Linked DNA regions of Diceros bicornis minor. The protein of the gene in region 2 binds, or shares a complex with, the protein of the main gene of each other region. Links are inferred from orthologs where the notes say so. Each region holds a gene or a part of one and is shown on either strand. Other genes may lie near its edges.

What was found.
Region 1: the proteins of SCML2 (region 2) and histone H2A.J are in contact, whole or in part, in a crystal structure (PDB 4EDU), measured with the Homo sapiens proteins. The link is inferred for Diceros bicornis minor from reciprocal best matches to the Homo sapiens genes SCML2 and H2AJ. Residues at the interface, in NP_006080.1 of Homo sapiens: Asp182, Asn185, Tyr187, Leu188, Cys190, Phe206, Trp209, Phe213, Pro239, Pro240, Gly241; in NP_808760.1 of Homo sapiens: Leu35, Arg36, Lys37, Gly38.

The regions. Positions count from the first base shown.
Region 1 is NC_080756.1:46,450,813-46,457,105, forward strand, and holds histone H2A.J, read right to left. Parts: upstream 1,293-6,293; 5' UTR 1,159-1,292; coding exon 769-1,158; 3' UTR 598-768; downstream 1-597. Other genes in the region: histone H4, read left to right, coding at 4,450-4,761. UniProt on the Homo sapiens protein: Core component of nucleosome. Nucleosomes wrap and compact DNA into chromatin, limiting DNA accessibility to the cellular machineries which require DNA as a template.
Region 2 is NC_080781.1:15,228,385-15,235,532, forward strand, and holds the start of SCML2 (sex comb on midleg-like protein 2), read right to left. Parts: upstream 3,010-7,148; 5' UTR 2,931-3,009; coding exon 2,892-2,930; intron 1-2,891. UniProt on the Homo sapiens protein: Putative Polycomb group (PcG) protein. PcG proteins act by forming multiprotein complexes, which are required to maintain the transcriptionally repressive state of homeotic genes throughout development.

The DNA.
Region 1 (6,293 bases), on a different chromosome or scaffold from region 2:
TTTCCATCCTCATGACTCACGCTTCTGTATTACACATACTACTGAATGTCTCCTTCATTTTAAAGAAATGTGAACATAAGTGTATATATAAAAATATCTGATACCCAAAACATGAAAACACAACAACTATTAGGCTAAGAAAAATCTGTTAAGTTGACACTGTGTCATCAGAGCCACTCTTCCAAGATGGAAAGTTAGTCCACCTTTTGAAAAGTATGGCCAGAGAGCCAACTCCCTGCACGAGACCAACTCACCGCCACCATCTCTTTCCTCACACTGGGTCCTGAACTGCCAAGAGAAGACAGGAGAGCAAAGGCCCTGGAAAGGGGCCCTAAAAATAATCCCCCTTGCCTCACCCGCACCTACTCTGCCTCTCCTTTGCCTTAAGGCGAGTAGGGAGAGCTCCCATCTCTGCCCACTTCCAGACCAGTGGGTCCCTCCCGGTTTCCCCCATCCGCCCATAACAACTCGAGGGTGCTGACCAAAGCAGTCTAGAAAGTGGCTCAAGCCTACCCACCAGTACCTGCTCCAGAGGTCTCCCGGTCGCCCCCCGGGGTCATCCAGCAGGTCCCCGCGACTACATAGCTCTCTCAACCACACGATTTTCACCGACTTTATTGGCCTCCGACCCTGGCGGGGCCCTCGCCGCCCACCTCCCCGCTAGATCTAGCCGGCCCTCGGTGACAAGAGCATATGCAAAAACATTCTGGGATGGCTACGAAAAGAGCCTTTGCTGGGGAAGCCAGCTCCCCCGTGGCGGCGTCAGGGTCACTTGCTCTTCGCCTTCTGACTCTCCGTCTTCTTGGGCAGCAGCACGGCCTGGATGTTGGGCAGGACGCCGCCCTGAGCGATGGTCACTTTCCCCAGCAGCTTGTTTAGCTCCTCGTCGTTGCGGATGGCCAGTTGCAGGTGGCGAGGGATTATCCTGGTCTTCTTGTTGTCACGAGCAGCGTTGCCAGCCAACTCCAGGATCTCCGCCGTCAGGTACTCCAACACCGCGGCCAGGTACACCGGCGCCCCAGCGCCGACTCGCTCCGCGTAATTCCCTTTGCGCAGCAGTCTGTGCACTCGGCCCACTGGGAACTGCAGGCCCGCGCGCGACGACCGGGACTTGGCCTTCGCCCGCACTTTGCCGCCCTGCTTGCCGCGACCAGACATGTTCACCTCTCGCCTAAAACTCCAGCGACGGAAAAAAGCCCCCAGCGATCCCGGTTGGAGAATGGGAATGCAATGTACCACACCCGAACTGCCTCTACCAACACTTTGCTGATACTAGGCAGCGCCTTCCCATTGGGCGCCGCAACATCCTCGGCTCCGATGACCAATGACAGGCAGGCTCCCCGGCCAGCTAGCGCGCTGGCACAGGGACCGCCTTCTCCAGCTCTATCCAATCAAAAGAGCAAACTTCTAGTCCTTATTTACATAACCCCTCATATGAATAGCCAGACCCGCCTGCTCCGCGTTTGAGGGCTCCGTTGAATTTATTGGGTCCTAAGATTTCAACGTCCACGCTCACTCCCAGGAAAAGAACGTCTTAAGAATTACGGAACCGTGGTTAGAAACAAAAATCCGGAAGAGCTACTCCGTCTACAAGTACGAAGCGCTCCAGCAAGAAATGCCTCTAGCACTTGAGGTCGTAGCCAGGTAGCTAACTGACTCTAGAGCCCGTGCTTGCGGGCAACACTGCTCCTCAAGCGAAATCACCTCTCTACCGAATTCGGCCTGCCCAGTGCAGGGTACGTTTCCTGTTCCCTTAAATAAACGCCTTGTCTCCTACAAACCCAGGGGCACCTGCTGTTACCTTGCAGTGTGAGGAGCTGGCTCCAAAAGAGGCTTCGGACGGAGCTGGCCGTCTGAACTTTCTAAACCAGACCAGGTGACACTGGACTCCCCGCACAGTTCTGCCGCTCACAGGCTGCCAATCTTCGCTTCTAAAGGCTGCGAAACTAGAGTGCTAGACTAGACATGAAGACTATCTTCACAGACGACAGGAACAAGCTCCCTTCGCCTAAACCTAACATCTCTTGTCTTTGAGGTTATGAGCCTGAAAAGAGCCTCTGGATTCCAGGGAGAAGCCACAGGCGCAGCTCAGTCGCTGAGGCTGCTTGGCCTTAACTTGCTCCTTATTGATCTCTGGGCCTCGGATCACGTTCTCCACGAAGACTCTGAGTCTCCTAGTAGACGAGACTAGACGTAAATAAAGTCTCGTAAGACATTCCGGTGGCGCTTGGCCTTCCCCTTTCCCAGCCCCTCCATTGCCCATTGCAGCGCTAAGAGATCATGAAAAGACCAGATAATGAAAAGACTAAAGGAAGAACGGCAGCAACTTGCCTTATACACCCAAATTGCGGAGTCATAGCATTTGGAACAAAATAGGTTTTTTTTTGTTTGTTTGGAATTAGAAATTACTTTCGACTAATTCATTGAGGTAATTTCATTTACCTCAACATATTCCACACTCATACAATTACACTACTACGTGATGTAATATTAAACACACATTAAAATAAGCGATATTTTATGTAGATTATAAAATCTAAGTAAATTAAAACAAATTTACCCTCTCACCCGTCCTAATAAAGATTTGATTTCATTGAAATAACATTTTTTAACTATTTATGTATATGCCCTTATTGCCTAGAACAATGATTAACGTATATACGGTAGGGAGTCAATAAACGTCTTTGGAGCTGAGAAGTCGTATATTGTCACGACTAAAGCGGTCACCGTGGAGCCAGACCGTCTCAGTCCAAATCCTGGCTCTATCACTTACCAGCTAATCTTCCACAAGTTATTGAACCCCTGTACCTATCCCAAAGTGTTATTTTGAAGATTAAATACATTAGTAAGCATCCAATGACTGTTAGATAAATTGAATGAATGGCCTACAAATCTCTGATGCAGTTATTGACAAGATGTTGACCTGGAATGAGTTGTGTAAATTTAGCATAAATTTTTGCCCATACCATGGGAAATTTTTAACAGTTATTACTATTATTTTGGACACTGTCCTTCTATTCTTGGAAGCAAGAGAGATTTCTAGCTTGAAAATATTCTAACTTTGATTTTTTAATCTTAGTAAATACAAATAAATCAATCTATTTTACCATTATGAGAATCCTGATCTCTTCAAGATCTGATAGACTTTTCTTCTTCCCTGTGAGTCAAGGATTAAAATTACACGGTACATTTTGACTATTCAGGAGTTTTTTTCAGCCAAACAGTGTTCCAAAGTTAATTCATCTTTAAACAAACAAGCAAACAAAAAGTACTTTTTGTGTTATGGAGATAGCAAATTATAAGCTTTTAGATATACAATAAATATTTACCATAAAGCTTTCCTGCCGGAAAAGCGATTCTTCAAGACTAAGGATAGGGAGCACAATTTATTAAAATATTCGTTTCTTTACATGTTAAGTGCCTGGGAAAGAGTTAGAAATCATCCTCTAAATACTGCTGCCTTTTATCGCAGTAAAATCTTTTGGGAAGACGGAGAGTCTTGTCTCCTAGAGCGGTGACACTACTGAAAGTTTTATTTTCAGGGATTCTCTTAAAAGGATGGAGAGCCTCCTGACGGAGGACGTGCAGTATAAATCTGTTTAAAGCTACGATCGTGGCACCCGTTATTGTACAAAAACTTTGAATTTTTAAGTGGAAGATGTGAGAACCTCAGATTTGAATGAAATAAAAAGAAATTTACAGTATTTCAACTAAATAACCATAGAAATAATTATTTGGTTGAAAAGGAAATACACGCGGGCGTGGGGTGGGGCGGAGAAGACAGGAAAATCTGCAAATTGCGCAGAAGAAGCTGAAAGGGAAAAGTCTGGGGGGAAGGTTAGACTTTTGAAAGAATTTTAATTCTTTCTCCGCGAAGCCACAAAGGAGAAAAAGAAACCATTAAAAAATTTCCTCTCCCCCCACTAGTGACTGAAAAAGATCCACGGATGAAAGCTACAAAGCAATTGCTTTGAAATCTAACAAAATGTAACGCATTCCTGGTTCCCATTGATTTTCACATTAGTCTGAGAATGATAATATAAAAGTAGGCATTCCGGTGGAAAAAATAAATAATTAGAATTCGCAGGCGCTCGAGGGAGAGACGGGGCGGGGGGGTGGGGAGGAGAAACCGAGCGCGCATAGGATCTGGCCTACTTTTATTTAAGCGTTGAGAAAAGGCAACAGAAATTCTATTGAGTCCTCCATTTTATGGCAAAATAACAAAACAAGTTTTCCCAAAAAAGCAAACAACAAAAAAATCAGTCTTGTTTTGGTTACTGCTTGCTCGACTCACTATAGTGAGGAGGAAAAAGTCTCCTGGGACCTAGAGCTCCGCCCACTTGCTTCAGGTTTTCAAACAGGTCCGCTACCAGGGCATATAAACTCTAGACTACGGCTCAAACTCATTAGCTGCTTGGTTTTCCACCCAGGACAAGGTTTGTTAGAAGGATGTCTGGCCGAGGCAAAGGGGGGAAAGGGCTGGGCAAGGGAGGCGCCAAGCGCCACCGGAAGGTCTTACGGGACAACATCCAGGGCATCACGAAGCCTGCTATTCGCCGCCTCGCTCGCCGTGGGGGTGTCAAGCGCATTTCGGGGCTCATCTACGAAGAGACGCGGGGAGTGCTGAAGGTGTTTCTGGAGAACGTCATCCGCGATGCCGTGACTTACACGGAGCATGCCAAGCGCAAGACGGTCACGGCCATGGATGTGGTGTATGCGCTGAAGCGCCAGGGCCGCACCCTTTACGGCTTCGGCGGCTGAGCTGTTCCTGCGGCTTATCTCCCGACTCCAAAAGGCCCTTTTCAGGGCCCCCAAAACGTCAAGAAAAGGGCTAACGCAGCGCCAAACTATAAATATCAGATCTAAATGCACATAGGCTCTTTAGATAAGGCTTTCTGGATGCTCTTAGTAGAAAACTCGGAGCAACTGCTCCGGCAAGTGGCTCCGGGTTGTAGGCTTCAGGCTTGGTGCTTGGGAGGAGGGGAGGTGCGGGCAGTGGAGCTCTGGGGGTAACCCAGCGCCGCGCTGAGGACGGAGCCTGGGGAGTGCGGCGCAGGGCTGTAGTGACCTCACTCTTGCGTGTACAGAGATAAGACGCCAGAGTCCTTCGCTTGCCTTTGGATTCCGTTTGAGAAAAGGAAGCATCACTACCTTAAAAACGCGCATTTTAGAAATGGCGGGCTTCTAAGCAACCGAGGCCTCTGTCCCTGAACATATATATGGCAGCTTACGTGTAAACTAGGGCAAGCGGTATTTCCGCCTCCGATTGGACAGGAGGGCCTCGCGTCAGAGGGGGCAGTTCTTCGCCCGTGGGGCCCTGGGTCTGGCCTCCGAGACCGCGGGGCTGGGGATGTCCCGGCGCCCAATAGGGAAGCGCCGCTGCAGGCCAGTCAGAACGCGGGAAACGCAGTCCCCGTGTGGCGCGCTGGGGTCTTGCCGGGTGTGAATAGTCTTATTTCTTCGCCGACGTTTTGTGTAAGAGCTCAGACGCCGAATGCAGGGCGGCGAAGTGCGGGCGAAGTCCAAGGCCGGGCCAAAGCTCGCGGCCCCCGCACTACCCGTGGGCCAGCTGCACAAAGTTAGCTGCGCGGAGCAGGTGAGCGTCTGGACCCCGGAATAACCGGCGGTGGTACTCGAACCCCTGACGGTGGAAATCCAAGAATTAGCCGGCAGGGCGGCCAGGGGCGCAGGGCAGCGTCCTGCTCAACGTCCTGGCCCTGCTGTGGCTCTGGGGAGGGTGTCTTGCGACCCGGTCGCAGCCGGGAGATAAGCCCTGGCTTCTGAGTAAAGGCACTTTTTGGAGCCGCCGGGGCTCTGGAAGGGAGATGGGTGGCATATTGGATTCTAAGAAGATCGGTGAAAATGGTATGGGAGAGAGAGCTGTGTAGTGGGGGAATGCTACCCGGTGATCCTGCCGTTCGGCCAGGAGACCTCGAGCAAGGTGCGGCGCAGGAGGGGCTTGTTTGAGGGCGCTTTCCCCAGGCGACTGTAGAGGCTGCAGACAGGGGACCCACCTGCGTACAGGCCGGCAGGGGCCGCCAGGGAGGCGACGTTGACACCCAAGTCAGTTTGATGGCCTCGCTTTACTCCTGGCTTTGTCACTCCTAACCTGTTTATATGAGGGAAGTGGGGAAGGGGCTTAGGACCTCCAAATACAGTGCGATTCCATGCATCTTTGCTAATCTCCTTCAGCTCTGGCTTGTCTAAACATCGTGAAGTCTTAGGCGATTGCCCGGAGGGGCTCTGGGGAAGTTTCCCAGCCTGATAGGCAGATATGTCTCGTTTTAAGCGAT
Region 2 (7,148 bases):
CACAAATAATTGTAAGGGAGAAAGGAATGTGTCAGGTCTTGCCTACACCTGTAAAATCAATACTGATCCAGGTCCCAGGATGAATTTAACAGACTCCAGCCCCTGGAAGTCTGGACATAAGCACCCAGCTGCCCTTCCTCATCATTTGGTTCTGACATGGGGGCCTTAATTTTCTTGTTTGTTTGTTTTTGTTTTTGTGAGGAAGATCAGCCCTGAGCTAACATCCATGCCAATCCTCCTCTTTTTGCTGAGCAAGATTGGCCCTGGGCTAACATCTGTGCCCATCTTCCTTCACTTTTTATATGGGACACCGCCACAGCATGGCCTGACAAACGGTGCATCAGTGTGCGCCCGGGGTCTGAACCCAGGCCGCCAGCGGCCAAGCGCATGCACTTAATCGCTACGCCACCGGGCTGTGGGGCCTTAATTCTTATATCCAAGATTCTGACTTCATCACTGCACCTGAGTTCCTGTTCTGGAAACTTGCTTAACATCTCAGTCCCCTACTAGGGGCTCGAGATCTTATCATTGGATTCTACCTTGGCCTCTGCTCCTCGTTTTCGGTTCTAGTAACTTGCACAGTATATCTTTTCTTTGGCCTGAGGTCCTTGCACGAAGTGGGGAACTGTCACCGAATTGTAGCTACTAGATGGTGCCTTGTTCATTCCTCTGGATGACGTTCCCTGATGCCAAATAATCTGCACTTTCAAACCTCACCTTCCTGGGATTACTATGATTTACTGAGGATGCCGGCTACTTCATCCTGGGTCCCTTATCCTCTGCTTCTGTCTGTGAATCAATGGTAATTTGCTCTTAGACCTCAAGCCCCTTGATATGTCCACTCTCACTGTCTTTCCAGCTCCCCTAAGCTGTTGTCCCACAACTAGGGAGGGGCCAGGTCCAGGTATAATTGACCTGCCCCCACCGGATACTGAGATATGACAGAAAAGATGCTGGAACAGGTGTAGGTCAACTGTTTAGAGAGTTAAGTAGAGGCACAGAGGGATTTCTTTCTAGACAAAAGGATGCATTCGGGAAGACTTCATGGGGAAGCTCCAAAGGGCTTTCTCAGGCAAAAGCACAAAGGTAAAGAAATTTGAGAGATGCATTGGAAACAGCAAGTCACTCAATTTGGCTGGAGCAAAGAGCATAGAATGGAGTGATTTGGTAAAAGCTGGCTGATTCCATTTCGTGGAGGGCCTTGAAGGTCAGGCAAAGCAGTCTGGATGTTATTTACTAGAACATGGGGAGCCACCTAGGTTTTTGAGGAGAATGATATGATTAGAGCTGCACTTCCCCAGGTATAAAGTAGTGTATCTGGAGCATATGTAGAGTCTATATACTGGAGACCTGTAATGAGTACCCGACTTAAGGCAGTCACGGTGGGAAGGGAAAGGGAGGGCCAATTACAAGATTGTTGTAGATAAGATAGAATTAAAAGATAGGATGCCATAACTGATACTTCGCTCTTCTGTGGCTTCAGTATTCAAAGATGACTCAGGTCTGTGACTTGCAAAGGAGGAGGATGGGACTGTGTATTTGACAGAAGTGAAAAACACAAGTAATTGGGGTTCTAGTCACCAATTTCAACATGTGTGGAGAGGTTCCTCGCACACCAGTAAACAATGCTCTGACACCAGCTGAGTGGCCTACAATTAACCCAATTCTGACACTACCTACCCGGAGATAGCATTGATTCCACAGGTTAAGGGTTCATAAGACTGTCCCCACCGCACTTCAGATGCCAGTCTCAAGTCCAGATTATCATCTGTGCTTCTGACCAAATGGCTACAAATTGGAGGTTCCAGTGACCCCCTCCAACTCAGGATGCCAACTGCAAGTCCAGGTTGTTACCTCTACCTCTGACCTGACCAACTGGCTATAAATCAGAGGTTCCCACGACCGCCTCCTCGGGTTTAATTAATTTGCTATAGCGGCTCACAGAACGCAGAGAAACATTTTACTTAATAGAATGCCGGTTTATTATAGAAGAATATAACTCAGGAACAGCCAAACGGAAGAGATGCACACGGCGAGGTGTGGGGAAAGGGCCCGGACCTTCCATGCTCTCTCCAAGGGGCCACTCTGCCAGCACCTCCAGACGTTCCCCAAACCGAAAGCTCTCCAAATCCCATCCTTTGGGGGTTTTTATAGAGGTTTCATTACATAGTCATGGTTGATTAAATCATTGGCCATTGGTGATTGATTCAACCTCCAGCCTCTCTCTTCTCCCTCAAGGTAAGGAATGGGGGCAGGCCTCCAGGGACTGAAAGTTCCAATCCTCTAATCTCCTGATTGGTTCCCCTGGCAACCAGCCCCATTCTTGTTACCTAAGGGCTTTCCAAAAGTCACTTCATTAACATAACAAAAGGCACTTTCATGGCTCTTATCCAGGAAATTCCAAGGGTTTTAGGAGCTCTGTGCCAGGAATGGTAGAAGACCAAATATATATTTATTATAAATCACAATATCACAGCAGGAGAAGGAAGTGGTGGAAGAAAATCAGAGCAAGCTTACAACTGATCATGCTAAACTGGAATCTTAGAGAAAGTTACAGCTGGAGATATAAATTTGAAAGTCATGGATTTGGGAGAGATTTATAAGGGAGGGATAGAGAGACAGAGCGGGGAGGATCAAAATCAGAATCAAGGTCCAGTCAGGAAACAGGAACCACACCAGTGATCTGAACAGGTAACGTTGAATATAAAGAATTGTTAACTAGGCAACGGGTGGTTAACTACTGAAATGTAGCGAACTCAAACGTCTAACAGAAATAACTACTGCGGAAAGAGGCTGCCACTTCCAGGGCTGAGGTAAAAGTGAACGAAGAAGGAACTTAGAAAGTTCGAGGAGGTCCCCCGCCCCCGCCCCCGCCGAGCTGAGATTCAGACCTCTAAGGAGATGGGGCGACTGCTGCAAGAACACGTCATGCGCCCAAGGTGGCTCTGAGGAGCTGGAAGAGCAGCCCACCGCCCGGAGAACGCCACGGGAGCCAGTTGCACACCAAGCCGATCAAGCCATCCATCGCAGCAATGGGAAGCAGAAACAAACAAGCAAACAGGAAGCAGAAAAGTCCTCCAGCACCCCCTATCGGCAGAGCCTAACATCGAGCCAGCTGCCAAAGGAGAAAACGTGGTGTGCAGAGACCCGCTCCGGTATTACAACGTAGTTTCCCAGAATCGATAAATTAATAACTAGGACATTGGTATTCATCTAAACTTAGAGGATGGGAAAAAGGGAAGCTAGACAAGAGACAGGATAAGCTTGGAATTGCAAGTAGGAGGCGTTGGCCACCAATCAATGCCAGAGGAAACTTCACTATATTTAGGTAACTAGGAGATTATCAGAGATATCTGGGGTTTTTTTTTTTTCTTTTTTTTTTTTTTTGTGAGGATATCAGCCCTGTGCTAACATCCGCCAATCCTCCTCTTTTTTTTGCTGAGGAAGACGGCCCTGGGCTAACATCTGTGCCCATCTTCCTCTACTTTATATGGGACGCCGCCACAGCATGGCTTGCCAAGCAGTGCATCGGTGCGCGCCCGGGATCCGAACCAGCGAACCCCGGGCCGCCGCAGCGGAGCGCGCGCACTTAACCGCTTGCGCCACCGGGCCGGCCCCTCTTTTTCTTTTTTTAAGCAACACTAATCTACAGTTCCAGCAGTCCGAATAGTAGTCACCCTTGGGGGATGGACTACTGACTCGGGACATGAGAGGGACTTCTGAGGTGTCGGGAACATCCTGTATATTGATCTGGGTTGGGGTAAGATGGGCTTAGACATAGGCAGAAATTAATCAAGCTGCGCACTTAAGATTTGTGCACTTTACTGTACATATGTTATATCTCAATTTTTAAAAAGTTTTAAAAAAAATATCATTTGGGGGCCGGCCCAGGGTCATAGTGGTTAAGTTCACATGCTCCACTTTGGCAGCCTGCTTCAGCGGCCTGGGGTTCACGGGTTTGGATCCTGGTTGCAGACCTACACGCTGCTCATAAAGCTGTGTTGTGGTGGCATCCCACACACAAAATAGAGGAGGACTGGCACAATTGTTAGCTCAAGGACAATCTTCCTCAAGCAAAAAGAGGAAGATTGGCAACAGATGTGAGCTCAGGGCCGCTCTTCCTCACCAAAAAAAAAAAAAAAGACTTATTGGATAGAAGAAGGGTTGGCAAACTACGGCCTGTGGGCAAATTTCAATGTGCTGAAATAAAATAACTGCCAACCTGAAATTCCATACCCACTGAAAATATTCTCCAAGATTGAAGACAAACAAAAACTGACAGGATGAGTTTCTTGAAGACCTGCACTGAAGTGAATACTAAAGTGAGTTCTTTAGACAGAAGAAAAATGATCCCAGAGGGAAGACCAGAGATGCAAAAAGGATTGAAGGCTAATGAAACGGTAAACAGATGGGTAAGTCTAAATGAATATTGACTGCATGAAACAATATAATGATGTCTTGAGGGAGATATATATCTGTCTTAGTCAGCGTGGGCTGACATAATAAAATACCATAGACTAAGTGGCTTAAAGTACAGAAATTTATTTCTCACGGTTCTGGAGATTGGAAGTCTGAGATCAGGGTGCCAGCATAGTCAAGCTCTGGTGAGGGCCCTCTTCCTGGCTTGCAGACCACTGCCTTCTTGCTGTGTGCTCACATGGTGGAGAGAGGAGGCTCTGGTGAGGGCCCTCTTCCTGGCTTGCAGGCCACTGCCTTCTTGCTGTGTGCTCACATGGTGGAGAGAGGAGGCTCTGGCACCTCTTCCTCTTCTTATAAAAGTACTAATTGCATCACAGGGGCTCCACCCTTATGACCTCATCTAAACGTAATCACCTCCCAAAGGTCCCTTCTCCTAATACCATCATATTGGGGGTTCGGGCTTCAACATATGAATTTTGGGAGGACACATATAAGAGAGAGAGAGACACAGAGACACACAGAGAGAGACAGAGATAGAGAGAATAAAAATACATAATACAATGACATATGAGTAGGATGACCATATTATTTTATGTACAATGTGGGACAGTTCAAGAGTGAAAGAGTGAGACATTGATAGTTACACAAGGACAACAAGCGTAAACCAGGACTTTGCTGGGCAAACTGGTGTATATAATCACCCTGGATATAAATTGGGAGGTAGGTAAGTAGAGTTAAACTGTCCTAAGGTCTATGCACTTCCAAGAAAAAAGAAAAAGTACGATGCATTTTTGTCAGTGTTGTAAATAGCGTATTTACTTAAATTTCACTTTCTGTTTTTGTTTTTAAGTATAAATATATTAAGCAGTCATTAACCTCATTAGCAATCAGGGAAATGCAAGTTGAAGCCACGGTGGGGCACCACTACAAACTCCAGATTGGCAAAAATTTTAATTTGCAGTCTTTGAAAAGAATGCCTATTATACATCAATAAAAAGGTGTTAAAAAAAAAACACTGACAATATCAGGTTTTGATAAAAATATGGAGTGTAGGAACTCTCATACACTACTGGTGGGAGTATAAATGGTACAAATGCTTTAGAAAACAGTTTGGCACTATCTAATAAAGTCGAAGATAAACACAGCCTATGGCCCAGCAGTTCTAATCTTGTGTATAAACCCTGGAAAAACTTGTGCATGCACATTGTAAACAAGGTAAACGTTTAAGAATGTTCATGGCAACGTGATGTGTCATTGTGCCCAAAACAAAAACCCCAAGTCCATCTAAAGTAAACTGGAAATATATATTGTGGCATATCCGTTCAGTGGAATGAATACTCTATAGCAATGAAAATACACAGCCACACACTGTGACATGGATGAAATCTCAAAAACATCATGTTAAGCAAAAGAAGAGAGGGAGCAAGAGTGAGAGAGAGAGAGAAAGAAACAGAACCCAAATGATGTGATTCCACTCAGACAATATTCAAATGCAGGATGCATAGCTAGGGGCAAAACACAAACAAAGAAACATGAAAAACAAGGCTTGATTATCAGGAATTAGGAGTTACCTCTGGGGAGGAGGTTGAGGGTCATGGTCAAGGAGGTGGTGTGTGGAGAACTTCTGTAGGGTTCTATTTTATTGACATGTGTGACTGTTATACTGCATTTGTTTCTGTTTTTGGCTTTAAAATAAAAAGTACATATATTTGATATACATTTTTATTTTTTATTTTTAAAGATTTTATTTATTTATTTTTTCCCTCCAAAGCCCCAGTAGATAGTTGTAGGTCATAGCTGCACATCCTTCTAGTTGCTGTATGTGGGACGCGGCCTCAGCATGGCCGGAGAAGTGGTGCGTCGGTGCGCGCCCGGGATCCGAACCCAGGCCGCCAGCAGCGGAGCGCGTGCACTTAACTGCTAAGCCACGGGGCCGGCCCCCTATTTTTTAAATTATATACATTTTATACATATTTTTACACATTTATACATGTACATTATATACATAATTTTTAAAAAGGAAATATGAGAATGCACAAAAAAGAGAGAAATATTGTCTATAATCCACCACTTGGGAATACACATAGTTTACATTTTAATGAATTTCCTTCCTGTTCTTTTTCTCTTTTCCTGGGCATAAATACTCTTTTTGGTTTGTATGTTTTTACAAAATTGAGATTATACTGCAAAACCTATAAAATCGAGATCAAAACTGGTTTTTGTCTTTGTTAATATTTCGCCTGATCTTACTGGAATTATTTGAAAGACCAATGTCCTATAGCGGTAGAGGCAGAAGATATTGTATGGGAGGTTGTCTGGGCGATTGGCAAGGTACCAGAGAAGGCAGTTCACTTTGCTCTTTCAAGAAGCTGGGAATACCTAATGTCTTTTAGATTGAGTACCACCAACACATCATGTGTATTTGGGTTAAACAGGACTTTGTGGGCAGACCTAATCATTGACCCAACGAATACGCTGAAATCTGGTACATTTGGAGAACAGTAAAAAGTTAATTGAGGGTAGAGCATTGAATATGTAGAAAGTGGCAGAAAACTAGTCTAAAGTGGTAGATGGGCCAGATTGTGAAGGGTTTTCCAATGTCAGTAATATTGGATTTGGATTTATCCTATAGGTAACAGGTAGTCAGCAGAGGGGTTTTTTTTTTTCCTTTTCTAAAAAATTTATTTAAATTTTTTATTTTGGGATAGTTTTAGATCTACATAAAAGTT